Macaca mulatta: one gene and its partners. The main gene of each other region encodes a partner of the protein of the gene in region 2 in a complex. Links are inferred from orthologs where the notes say so. Each region holds a gene or a part of one and is shown on either strand. Other genes may lie near its edges.

Region 1 (4,055 bases), on a different chromosome or scaffold from region 2:
TAGCTGGGTGTGGGGGCGCATGCCTGTAATCCCAGCTACTCGGGAGGCTGAGGCAGGAGAATCGCCTGAACCTGGGAGGCGGAGGTTTCAGTGAGCCGAGATTGCGCCATTGCACTCCAGCCTGCGCAACAAGAGCAAAACTCTGTCTCAGGAGAAAAAAAAAAAAAAAAAAAAAAGAGAGAGAAAGGCAGCATCTTGGAGACCAAACATGTCCAAAACAACTCGATTTCCACCTCTTCAAACTTGTTCCTTCCTCATCTTCCAAGTCTCGTACCCATACACCCAATTATTCAAGCTGAAAACTTAAAAAGGCATCAATTCCTCTATCTCCTTCACTTCTATATACAATATGTATTTTTAACTGAGACAGCTTCTTCCTCTATCATCTAAGCTGGAGCACAGTGGCACAATCACAGCTCACTGCAGCCTCAACTTCCTGGGCTCAAGTGATTCTACCACCTCAGCTTCCTAAGTAGCTGAGACTACAGGTGTACGCTGCTATCCCTAGCTAATTTACTTTTATTTTTTGTAGAGATGGGGTCTCATTATATTGCCCAGGCTGGTCTCAAACTTTTGGGCTCAAGCAGTCCTCCCACCTCAGCCTCCCAAAGTGCTGGGATTACTGGCGTTAGCCACAGCACCTGGCTCTATATTCAGCTTTTCAACCCTGTCAGCTCTACATCTAACACCCTGTATCCATTTACTTCTCTAAATAAGTACATTTGACCAAGTTCCTATGTTAAAATGGCTTTCCTTGGCTGGGCACAGTGGCTCAGGCCTATAATCCTAGCACTTTGGGTGGCCAAGGTGGGAGGACTGTCATTGGCCAGGAGTTCAAGACCAGCTTGGGCAACACAGTAAGACCCAGTCTTTACAAAAAATTTTTAAGTTAGCCAACTGTGGTGGCACATGCCTGCAGTCCTAGCTACTTGGGAGGCTGAGGTGGGAGGACAGCATGCGCCTAGGAATTGGAGGTTACAGTGAGCTATGACTGTACCACTGCAGTCCAGCCTGGGTGACACAGTGAGACCTTGTCTCTATAAAAAATTGTTTTAAATGGCTTCCTTTTGTATTTACAATCTAAATGCCTTTATTGCTTTATAAAAGCCTCTGCCTAACTCTCCCAGCTTCATCTCTCTCCTAACACTCTTTCCTTTTGTTCACTTCACTGGAGTCCAACTGATTTTCTGTCCCTCAGATATTCTAAGCTTTTTCTCACATCAGGGTTTCTGACCTCATTTCCTGTATCTAGAATTATCTCTCCCTCCTGTCCATAGCTGGCTGGCCCTTTGTCTATGCTTACATTTTAGTTCAAATTTTAGCTATGTGGAGAGAGCATCTCTGGCCACTCTAGCTAAAGTAGTTCTGCCCCTCAATTTTTTTTTTAAGAGACAGGGTCTCATCTGTTGCCTAGGCTGGAGTGCAGTGGCACAATCTTGGTTCACTGCAGCCTGGACCTCCTGTGTTCAAGCAATTCTCCTCCCTTAGTCTCCTGAGTAGCTGGGGCTACAGGCAAGCACTACCACGGCCGGCTAATCTTGTATGTTTTGTAGAGACTGGGTCTCGCCATGTTGCCCAGGCTGGTCTCAAACTCCTGGGCTCAAAGGATCCTCCTGCCTCAGCCTACCCAAGCGCTGGGATTACAGGCGTGAGCAATGCGCCTGGCCACCTTCAATTTTTTATAATGTTTTCTCTTCCTAGCATTAACCACTCTCTGACATTATCTTGTTTACAATGCCTCCTACACTGAAATGTACATTCCAAAAAAGGCAAGCATCTTGTCAGTCTTGTTCACAACTGTATCTCCAGCATTTAGAAAAGTGCTTGGTACATAGGTACTCAACAAAATAATTTTTTGAATGAAAAGAGTTTGGTTCGATTCTTACCCCTTCTTTGATGACACCAGGAAACGCAGAAATCTTGGAAGAGTGGCAACTTGCCCCAAACCCACAGCAAGTCTGTGGGAGACTTGTAACTAAAACTTTAGGTCCCCAAAGATATTAAATCAGGCCTCTCGAGTTCCAAACTCAAACTCTTGATTTTTTGTTTGTTTGTTTTTGTTTTGAGACGGAGTCTCATTCTATCGCCCAGGCTGGAGTGCAGTGGAGCAATCTCGGCTCAATGCAACCTCCGCCTCCCGGGTTCCGAGTAGCTGGAATTAAAGGTATACGCCACCACGCCCAAGTAATTTTTGTGTTTTTAGTACAGACAGAGTTGCATCATGTTGGCCAGGCTGGTCTCGAACTCCTGACCTGAGGTGATTCGCCCGCCTCCGTCTCCCAGAGTGTTGGGATTACAGGCGTGAGCCACTGCGCCCAGCCCTAGATCATTTTTTAGGGAGACATAAACCAGTGTCAGGAACACAGCCTGGACATGGTGCAAAAGACAGTCACGGAGATGCACCACCCCGCTCCCCGCCATTCATCCCTTTGGTTGAATTCAACTCATCCCTCTGCTTGTGAATCCTAATAGCCCTTTCGACTTAGGGCTCCACAGTCCGGGTATGCGTTGCCTAGGTTACCTCGCACCTCCGTTAGCCGGCTGAGAGCCACGCCCAACACCTCCTCTCTAAGATTTGATTGGCTGGCTTTGGCAAGGCCGAGTACTCACCTGGCAGTTCCCTCATGAGGTAAAAAGGGCCACAGCCAGCTCCTGACTTGTCCGCGCCGGGAGGGGCCGTGGCCGCGGTGGGAGGCGGAGCCGTGCCGGGTCCCCCGCCCGGAGGAGGCGGTGGCGGGGGTGGAGGCTTTCCTGGTCCGAAGCCTAGTGCGGTTGGGGGCGGTGGTGGGTCAGCCTGAGCCCCGAACAGCGCCGTGAAATTCTCCATCGTCCCCTCCGCCCCGGCGCTGTCTCGGTGTCTGGCGTTGGTAATTTTCATTGGACAATGCCTTTAAGGAATACCCACCTCTTTCTCAAGGAACCGCTTGTCATTGGATGCCTCAGGCACCGCCTACCTTGTTTCAACAACTACTTCCGTCGCTCTCTGAGAACGTTCAGGAAGTGCTATTTAACCTTATTAGAGTCTTCTGCTAGCTACGTTAGCTACAGTCCAATAAAATGACTTAAGCTGATAAAGCGACAGCTAGACCAACCAATAAGATATTAAGTTCTTTTTTGGGTTCTGACATACCACAGCGTTGACAGAACTACATCCGGGTTTAGAGGCCGTACGTTTGAGATGTAGCCCAATAGCAGTCGCTATGGTGGGGGAGGCGGGGCCGGACCTACGACGCCGGTGAGCAGTGGCCCTTGCGGCCGAAAAGATGGCGGTCTTGGCTCCTCTAATTGCTCTGGTGTATTCGGTGCCGCGACTTTCACGATGGCTTGCCCAACCTTACTACCTTCTGTCGGCCCTGCTCTCTGCTGCCTTCCTACTCGTGAGGAAACTGCCGCCACTCTGCCACGGTTTGCCCACCCAACGCGAAGACGGTAACCCGTGTGACTTTGACTGGGTGAGCGTCCCGCGTCTCAGTACCGCGACCTTGACTGTCCCTGCCCTTGCAGGTGCATCTGGGAACCCTGGGGTTTACCTTTCTGAGGACACCTGAGGTTCCGAGCCTGTAGCGGATTTAACAGACTGTAAAGTGCAGAGTCCGAAACATCGTCGAGACTAAACTTTGTGTTTAATATGGGAAAACGGAACCTGTTAGTCGTAGCCCTGTACAACGGCCCAACAGCTTCTGACTGTTGAGTCCAGGTTTCTTTCCATTTCACCATTTAGACTAAGAAACAGCCCTGTCAAAACTGTACATATACGTGTATAGCATCTTACAGTGCCGCTCATTATGTAAAGCCTCCTGAGGAGCCAGTAAGGTAGGGAAGGCAAGTAGTAGTAGTCCTGTTTCATTGGTGAAGGAATGGATCTTGGTATATTTAGGCGACTTGCCCCAGGTCATGCAACTAATGAGTGCCTGGGACTTGAAACTATTCTTGTGGCCACACTACCTGCACACACTGTCAGCCGTTTCTTAATTCAATCAGCATTTCTAGAGTGTACACTCTAGGCACTCTGCTTGATCCTGAGGATGCGAAAGTGGATAAAATTTTGGGGCTAC
Region 2 (3,560 bases):
CCAGCACTTTGGGAGGCCGAGGTGAGCGGATCATGAGGTCAGAGGTCAGATCGAGACCATCCTGGCTAACACAGTGAAACCCCATCTCTAGTAAAAATACAAAAATGAGCAGGGCACGTTGGAAGGTGCCTGTAGTCCCAGCTACTCTGGAGGCTGAGGCAGGAGAATTGCTTGAACCCGGGAGGCAGAGCTTGCAGTGAGCTGAGATCGTGCCATTGTACTCCAGCCTGGGCGGCGTGAGACTCAGTCTCAAAAAATTTAAAAATTAGGGTTATTGTTTGTCTGGAGTACCCAGCTCACTGTGGGCGTGTGGCGCTCGTGGTATCTAGGAGCTGTGTGCACAGTCATTATTTCTGTGGGGCCACCCTAGTCACCATCCAACAGGCATCTGTTGGGTGTGTAACCGGCGCCAGGTGCCGGTCCTGCGTGGCTGCAGCTGCAGTGTGGACACACTGCTGTGTTCACAGAGTTCACCTCGGAGCAGGGGCAGATGTGCACCAGCGGGCCGGGCCTGAGCAGTGGTGGCCCTGGCATGGGGACCTGCCCGCGCCAAGGCCTGCAGGCCGAGAGAAGCGGCCCCCAGGTGGGCGGGCAGTGGGCTCCCGGTTCCTCCCTGGCAACGCCATCGCCCCCTTCTCCTTCCCGCCGTGGGTCCCCTTGTGTCCTGGCAGCGGCTGGGCGCTCGGTGCAGGTCGAAGGACCGAGGGGTGCAGTTAGGTCACCGTGTACAAGAAGCCCGAGCTGACCCGACCCGTGTCTCCTTGCAGACATTGACAAGGTCATGATCAACCTCAAGACGGAGGAGTTTGTCCTGGACATGAACACGCTGCAGGCGCTGCAGCAGCTCTTGCAGTGGGTGGGCGACTTCGTGCTCTACCTGCTGGCCAGCCTGCCCAACCAGGTGCGCTGCGCTCGCCCCTGAGGCTGCCCTCGCCCCTGAGGCTGCCCTCCCCGAGGCCCCGCCCCTCATCGGGGCCCTGACTCCTGGCCCCGCCCCTCATCTGGGCCCTGACTCCTGGCCCCGCCCCTCATCTGGGCCCTGACTCCCTGGCCCCGCCCCTCATCAGGGACCTGCCTCCCTGGCCCCGCCCCTCATCTGGGCCCTGACTCCTGGCCCCGCCCCTCATCTGGGCCCTGACTCCCTGGCCCCGCCCCACATCAGGGCCCTGCCTCCCTGGCCCCGCCTCTCATCTGAGCCCTGACTCCCTGGCCCCGCCCCTCATCTGGGCCCTGCCTCCTTGGCCCTGCCCCTGAAAACCACTTCAGCCCCGCCCCTACTTGGAGCCCCACCTCCTGACACTGTCTATTCTCAAAGCTCCACTGCCTATCCCGCCCGTCCTGAAGCGCTGCCCCACCTCAGAGCCCTCACCTCCATGAAGCTTCTGCAAAAAACCCTTCCTTGACCACACACTTTCTGCCCATTCTCGAAGCCCCGCCTCCCAGACCCTGCCCCTTCTCGGTCCCACCCTTTACTCTCCCCAGCTCCCGGTGCAGGAGGCGGTTGGGGGGAGTTGGCAGCTTTGAAATCATCAAGTCTCCATCCACACCCCCACCTTCAAGTATGCGGCCTGTGTGCCCCGAGCAGGGCTCCAGCCTCCCCCCGCCCACACACTCTGTCCTGCCCAAACCGTGACTTCTCTCCCCAAGTTTCATTCTGCCCTGGGGCCTCTGTCTCTCCACCCGCGCCCATCAGGCACGGTTTGAAGTCCCTGTCTGCTCCTTGTGGGACTTGAGGCTGCCAGGTTCTCTCGGCTCCCAGTACAGCCACCAGGGCCACTCAGCTGTGGGGGGCGGCTGCTCCTCCATGTGCCGGTGGGGACGTTGGCCTCAGCCAGAGCCGCTTCTTAGTCCTGTGGCGGCTCAGGGATGGGACAGCTCTCCAGACGGGGCTGTCCTGGGCCCTGCAGGGCGCTGAGCAGTGTCCCCGGCATCCACCCACTCCGTGCCAGGAGCTCCCCAGTCCTGACCACCACAAACGTCCCAGACCCTGTCCATTGCCTCCAGGTCGGGGTTCCACCGGACCCGAGAGACCTCATCCCATCACCATCTGCCCCCCCGCCGCCCAGCTACTCCGATGCCTCTTTCCGGCAGGGCTCGCTGCTGAGGCCGGGCCACAGCTTCCTGCGGGATGGCACCTCGCTGGGCATGCTTCGGGAGCTGATGGTGGTCATCCGCATCTGGGGCCTGCTGAAGCCCAGCTGCCTGCCTGTGTACACAGCCACCTCGGACACCCAGGACAGCATGTCGCTGCTCTTCCGCTTGCTCACCAAGCTCTGGATCTGCTGTGAGGCCCCCTGCCCTCTGCTCCCCTCTCCCTACCAGAACACACCGCGTCCGAGCCCCCTGCCAGAACATAAGCCCTCTGCTCTCCTCTCCCTACCAGAACATACCGTGTCCGAGCCCCCCGCCAGAACATAAGCCCTCTGCTCCCCTCTCCTACCAGAATGCACCGTGTCCGAGCCCCCCGCCAGAACATAAGCCCCTGCAGGTGGCAATGGCTCTGCCTTGATCTCTGCCATTTCCTCGGTTCGCAGCACAGGTCCATGCTCGGTGTGGGTGCCATTGGGATGGCAGCCACTCCCAGGCTCCTATTTGCTGTCTCTCCTTGTCAGGTTGTGTGTATGTGAGGAGGGTGGGTTGGATCGTTCTTATGTCTCAGTGTCTGGGAAAGGCACAGTGCTTCCCACATACTTTTTTTTTCTTTTTTTGAGATGGAGTCTTGCTCCGTTACCCGGGCTGGAGCGCAGTGGCGCAATCTCGGCTCACTGCAAGCTCCACCTTCCAGGTTCACGCCATTCTCCTGCCTCAGCCTCCGGAGTAGCTGGAACTACAGGCGCCCGCCACTGCGCCTGGCTAACTTTCTGTATTTTTAGTAGAGACGGGGTTTCACAGTGTTTGCCAGGATGATCTCCATCTCCTGACCTCGTGATCCACCCGCCTTGGCCTCCCAAAGTGCTGGGATTATAGGCGTGAGTCACCGCGCCCGGCCAGCTTCCTACATACTTTTTAAGTGAATGAGGGAGTCTCATTATTGAGGCCAGAGAGGGTGAGAGAACCCTGGGGTCACCCAGCCAGGCAGACAGAGCCGGGGCCCCGACCTGGTGCTCCTGAACTGGAGGGGCTCCCCGTGCGTCCCGGGTGGCCGGGTGGTGCCCCGGGCAGGGTTGCCCCAGGCAGAGTTGCCGAGACCTTGGCCACCCCTCTCTGCAGGTCGCGATGAGGGCCCAGCGAGCGAGCCAGACGAGGCGCTGGTGGACGAGTGCTGCCTGCTGCCCAGCCAGCTGCTTATCCCCAGCCTGGACTGGCTGCCCGCCAGCGACGGCCTGGTCAGCCGCCTGCAGCCCAAACAGCCCCTACGTCTGCAGTTCGGCCGGGCGCCCACACTGCCTGGCAGTGCTGCCACCCTGCAGCTCGATGGCCTTGCAAGGTGCGTGTGTCCCTGCATTGGTCCCCAAACACACCTCCCTCCATGCCCTGCCCCAAGGCCCCCCGAATCCACACAGCTCCCTCCCTCCGTGTCCTGCCCCAGAGCCCCCCAATCCACACAGCTCCCTCCCTCC
Region 3 (4,135 bases), about 16 Mb from region 2:
CCCTCCTGCCCGGGCCGGACTCCCCGAGTTCCCAGTGCAGGAGGCAGCTGGGCCCCGGCCACCCACCCACCTGCCTGCCCGCCCGCCCGGCTTCTGCAAGATGGGAATGCACTTCGTGGCTGACGGGCCGGTCAGTCCAAACAGACATAAGGCAGAATGTTCAAGCGCCCGTCATCGCCGTGCGGATCAAGTGATATGCACTGCGTCCAGTCATACCAGTTACCCTGTGTGTCCTGACACCCGTTCACCCCCGGCCACTGGCTGGCCTGGATTCTGTCGAGATCGTCCTGTGTGATATCCCGGGTCAGCCCGGGGAGGTCTGTGGGCGGGCTTTGAGGCACCAGCACGTGCAGCTGCCTGGCCCCTTGCCGGGTGCTCTCCTCCTGCTTCAGGTACTCAGACATGAAGTGGTGAGCCCCCGGGGTCTGCGCGCCCGACGATGAGAGCAGGCTGCTCTGCCGGCTCAGGTAGGACTGGATGATCTCGTTGCGTGACAGCTCCTTCCAGTTCGTCTGTTCAAAGGGGCTCTGGAGGCTGGCCTTGGCCTCCTGCTTGTCCAGCTCTGTCCTGGACTGCTGCTCCATGTGCACAGGGCTGTCTGCCCGCACTGGCTCTTTCTGGGTCAGAGGTTTGATCTGTCTTGTCATGGGGTCAAAGGTGAGCTTCCGCTCTTTTAACCGGACAGGCTTGACGCCCGCCTCAGCCACCTGCCCGTCCAAGTTAACCGTGTAATCTCGAGGCCGGTACCTCTTCTTCTTTTTACTGTCCGAGCCCCCTGAGGAGGCAGCGTCACTGTCCGCCTTGGAGGAGTCTGGGGAGAAGCCCGCCCGGGACAGGAGGGGCTCGGCTGGGGACAGCCCTGCCTTGCAGCCCGGCCCCGCCAGCCGCTGGTGGCTTTCCGGCTGCTCAAGCCAGCGCACTGGGCTTTCCGCACTGGGCAGCAGCTCAAGCCGCCGTACAGGGGGTGTGGACGGCTGTGCCAGTGGAAGCGGTGACGGCACCTGTGTGGCATCGAGCGCCTGGGGCCGCGGTGAGGGGCTGGGCACGGAGCCCTTGGGTGCATACAAGCTCTGCTGCCGGGCAAAGGAGCCCTCATGCCGTGAGTTCCGAGGACTGAAAGAGCAGCGAGGGGGCCCCTTGGGGTGGGGAGGCCCCGGAGTCTCATCCACCCTGTCCAACTGCTGCAGCACCGAAGCCTTTGGCTGCAAGCAGGGTCCAGGGGGCTTGCCCAGGCCTGGGGAGCTGGTGTGCGGCCGCACAGCGTTGATGGGGATCTTGCCACTGTGCTTGTCGTTCTCGCCACGCTCCAGGCGGCCGCCCTCTGGGCCTGCATGCCCACTGCCATCCAGGGAGCCAGGGAAGCTCTCTGGACTCCCACTGATGCCATTGGTAGGGAGGGGGGATGAGTTGGGGACCAGGGGGTCGTGGCTAGCTTTGGAGACCTTAGGTGGTGGCCCTGGGTGGCCGAGGTCACGCTGGTCACCCCTGCGCTTGCGGCTGCCCAGCCTGTCCAGCCGCTGCCCGGGCAGCCTCTGGAGGTCATTGCGGCTCTTCAGGTCATGGATGCTCCTGGGCGGGCCAGCCGCCCCCACCTCCGGCCGGCAGTTGTGTGCACCCCCGTTGGCAGAGCCAGTGGCCCCCGCCAGCCCCCGCAGCGCTGCCTCATGCTGGTGCGCTGGCTCGATGAGCTTCTGCCAGCTCCGCAGCAGCTTCTTGGCCCGCTTGGCGAGCTCCTCGTTCTTGGTTTTCTTGCGGACGTCGTTGATGAGCTTCCCAAGTCGTGTTTCCTACAACCAGAAAGAGAGATGATGACATACTTTCGGGACAGGGACTTCCCCATGAGCTGAGCCAGAAATGGTGGGAAATGGCCCTGACAATGAAATGACCTGGTTCCCACTGAGCCCTAAACTGCCAGCCTCCCTGGCACAAAACTCCTGGGGATTTCCGGTCCTTTGTGACAATATAAATTCTCAAACCTAGTCCCCAGACCTTCAGAGTCCCAGGTGGCTTCTCAGCAGTGCTGTCCCGCAGGCTCCTGGTGCCAGGGGGCTGTCAAGGCCACTGTAAGGACACTGCCAGGGAGGCTTTCTGGATGAGAGGGTGCTGTGGCCAAGGCGGCAGCACAGAGGGTCTGCTTCAAGTGGAGGGTTGGGGACGGCGCCTCTCATTGGAGCCTCCCCCAAGCACACCTCTCCTGATGTCCCCATGTCCCCACGTGCCCACGTGCCCATGAAGTGTGCTGGGCAGGTAGGATGGGATTAATGCCACTTGGTCACTGCAGTGGCCACAGGAGAGCAAGATCACGGGGCACAAGCTGTGAGGGCACACCGCCTCTCTTGGTCCTCTGAAGCAAAGACACACGCTCCTAGAAGCTGGGGAAGGAACTGGGTTGGTGCCGTCCCCTGTCCCCCATTCTGCACTCCCAAATGCTGGGGTCTGGGATACTCACCTCAAGTGCCTCTTTGGTAATGGGGTATTTCTCCAGGCTGGAGATGACTTCCAGCACCGCCACCATGTTCCGGATCTGTGGAAATAAAGAAAAAGCCATTTGTCAGGTTCCTGCCCTTCTCCCCTGGGAGGCAGGGACACCCTACCCCAGCCTGCTCCAGTCTCTCCCCAACCCCAGAGCAAGAGGAGCTGGCAGCACTGAAGCCCCCACTCCATGTAGTCTCCTACCTGCTCCCCAGGCCAACCTGGCGCCCAGTGCTCATCCTCACCCGCTGTCCGACCTCCTCCAGTGTGTGGTGTGCGGTCTGCTCCAAACCCTCCAGTGTACATGGTACATATCCACCCACCTGCTGAAACCCAGGATGCTTGTGAAACAAGAGCTGCTCCTGATACTTAAAATGACCTCTACTCTGCCATCTGATGGGAGTGGGAGAGGAGACACTGAAGAATTCATCGAATAAAATCCACAAAGCTTAAAAGATCAATACATAGGCTGGGCGCGGGTGGCTCACGCCTGTAATCCCAGCACTTTGGGAGGCCGATGAGGGCGGATCACGAGATCAGGAGTTTTGAGACCAGCCTGGCGAACACAGTGAAACCCCATCTGTACTAAAAATAAAAAAATTAGCTGGGTGTGCTGGCATGCGCCTGTAGTCCCAGCTACTCGGGAGGCTGAGGCATGAGAACTGCTTGAACCCGGGAGGCAGAGGTTGCAGTGAGCCAAGACCACGCCACTGCACTCCAGCCTGGGTGACAGAGCGAGACTCCGTTAAAAAAAAAAAAAATTCAATACATAATAAACCAGTCGATTTGAATCCAAAGACACCATAAAGAGAGCAGAAAGTCACAAAGTGGGAGAAGGCATAGACCACAAGCCCCAAGGAGCTGTATCTGGAACACACAGAGAATGCCTGTGCAGCAGTGCAGCTGACCAGGAACCCAGCGCACAGTGGCTACAAGACAGGAACAGGCACTGTGCAATGAAATGTCAGCGCTAATGCTCAGCTTCTCAGCTTTATCAATAATTAGGAAAACTCAAACTGAACCCACAAATGGATATATGATACACGCACCCCACTGACAATACTAGGTACTTCTGGGGGTACAGCCGACTTTGGGAACGGCTGGACTTTGTCTGGCAGAGTGAAACATGAACACATCCTATGACCGAGTAATCCCACCCTTTTAGGATCTTGCTAGGAGCCACACCTTGTTCTAAGCACTTCCCACACATTACTAACTCCTTTAATTGTTACAACAAGAATTCCTACCGCTCAACCGCCACCTCCAGCAGCTACAGGTTTCTGGTGGGCTGGCTGGCAGGCGGGAACCCAGGGGCCCTGAGGAAACCACAGTGAGTAGATTACACAACTCCCCCCCACCCCCACCCCAACATGATAAAGGAGTTAAGCAGGCACATGATACAAATTAAAACAGCGTAAAAGGGCACACAAGGAAATGGGCATCTCTGACCCAGCCACTGTAGCATTACCTTGCATTTTTTTCCAAAAATATCCCTTGTGTATGCAGGCGTATACATCTACACTTGTCACATATTTCAAAACCAAACTGACCGTGGTTCTTGCCTTTTCTGACTTAACATCAGCAATGTCCAGCCTCAAACAGAGCCCCTCATTTGGCTCACCATCCCTTCCAGAGTGGGGAAGGCCCGACTTGAATGTTGTGG

The links. Proteins that work in one complex are often made in the same cells at the same time.
Region 1: MED16 (region 2) and MED19 share a complex: the UniProt entries of both Homo sapiens proteins name them as parts of the mediator complex. The link is inferred for Macaca mulatta from reciprocal best matches to the Homo sapiens genes MED16 and MED19.
Region 3: MED16 (region 2) and MED26 share a complex: the UniProt entries of both Homo sapiens proteins name them as parts of the mediator complex. The link is inferred for Macaca mulatta from reciprocal best matches to the Homo sapiens genes MED16 and MED26.

What each region holds. Positions count from the first base shown.
Region 1 is NC_133419.1:15,682,070-15,686,124, reverse strand, and holds the start of MED19 (mediator of RNA polymerase II transcription subunit 19), read right to left. Parts: upstream 2,861-4,055; 5' UTR 2,828-2,860; coding exon 2,611-2,827; intron 1-2,610. Other genes in the region: TMX2 (thioredoxin-related transmembrane protein 2), read left to right, coding at 3,264-3,452. UniProt on the Homo sapiens protein: Component of the Mediator complex, a coactivator involved in the regulated transcription of nearly all RNA polymerase II-dependent genes.
Region 2 is NC_133424.1:1,528,267-1,531,826, reverse strand, and holds part of MED16 (mediator of RNA polymerase II transcription subunit 16), read left to right. Parts: intron 1-767; coding exon 768-901; intron 902-2,004; coding exon 2,005-2,284; intron 2,285-3,210; coding exon 3,211-3,427; intron 3,428-3,560. UniProt on the Homo sapiens protein: Component of the Mediator complex, a coactivator involved in the regulated transcription of nearly all RNA polymerase II-dependent genes.
Region 3 is NC_133424.1:17,072,802-17,076,936, forward strand, and holds the start of MED26 (mediator of RNA polymerase II transcription subunit 26), read right to left. Parts: upstream 2,861-4,135; 5' UTR 2,779-2,860; coding exon 2,677-2,778; intron 2,525-2,676; coding exon 2,450-2,524; intron 1,788-2,449; coding exon 132-1,787; 3' UTR 1-131. UniProt on the Homo sapiens protein: Component of the Mediator complex, a coactivator involved in the regulated transcription of nearly all RNA polymerase II-dependent genes.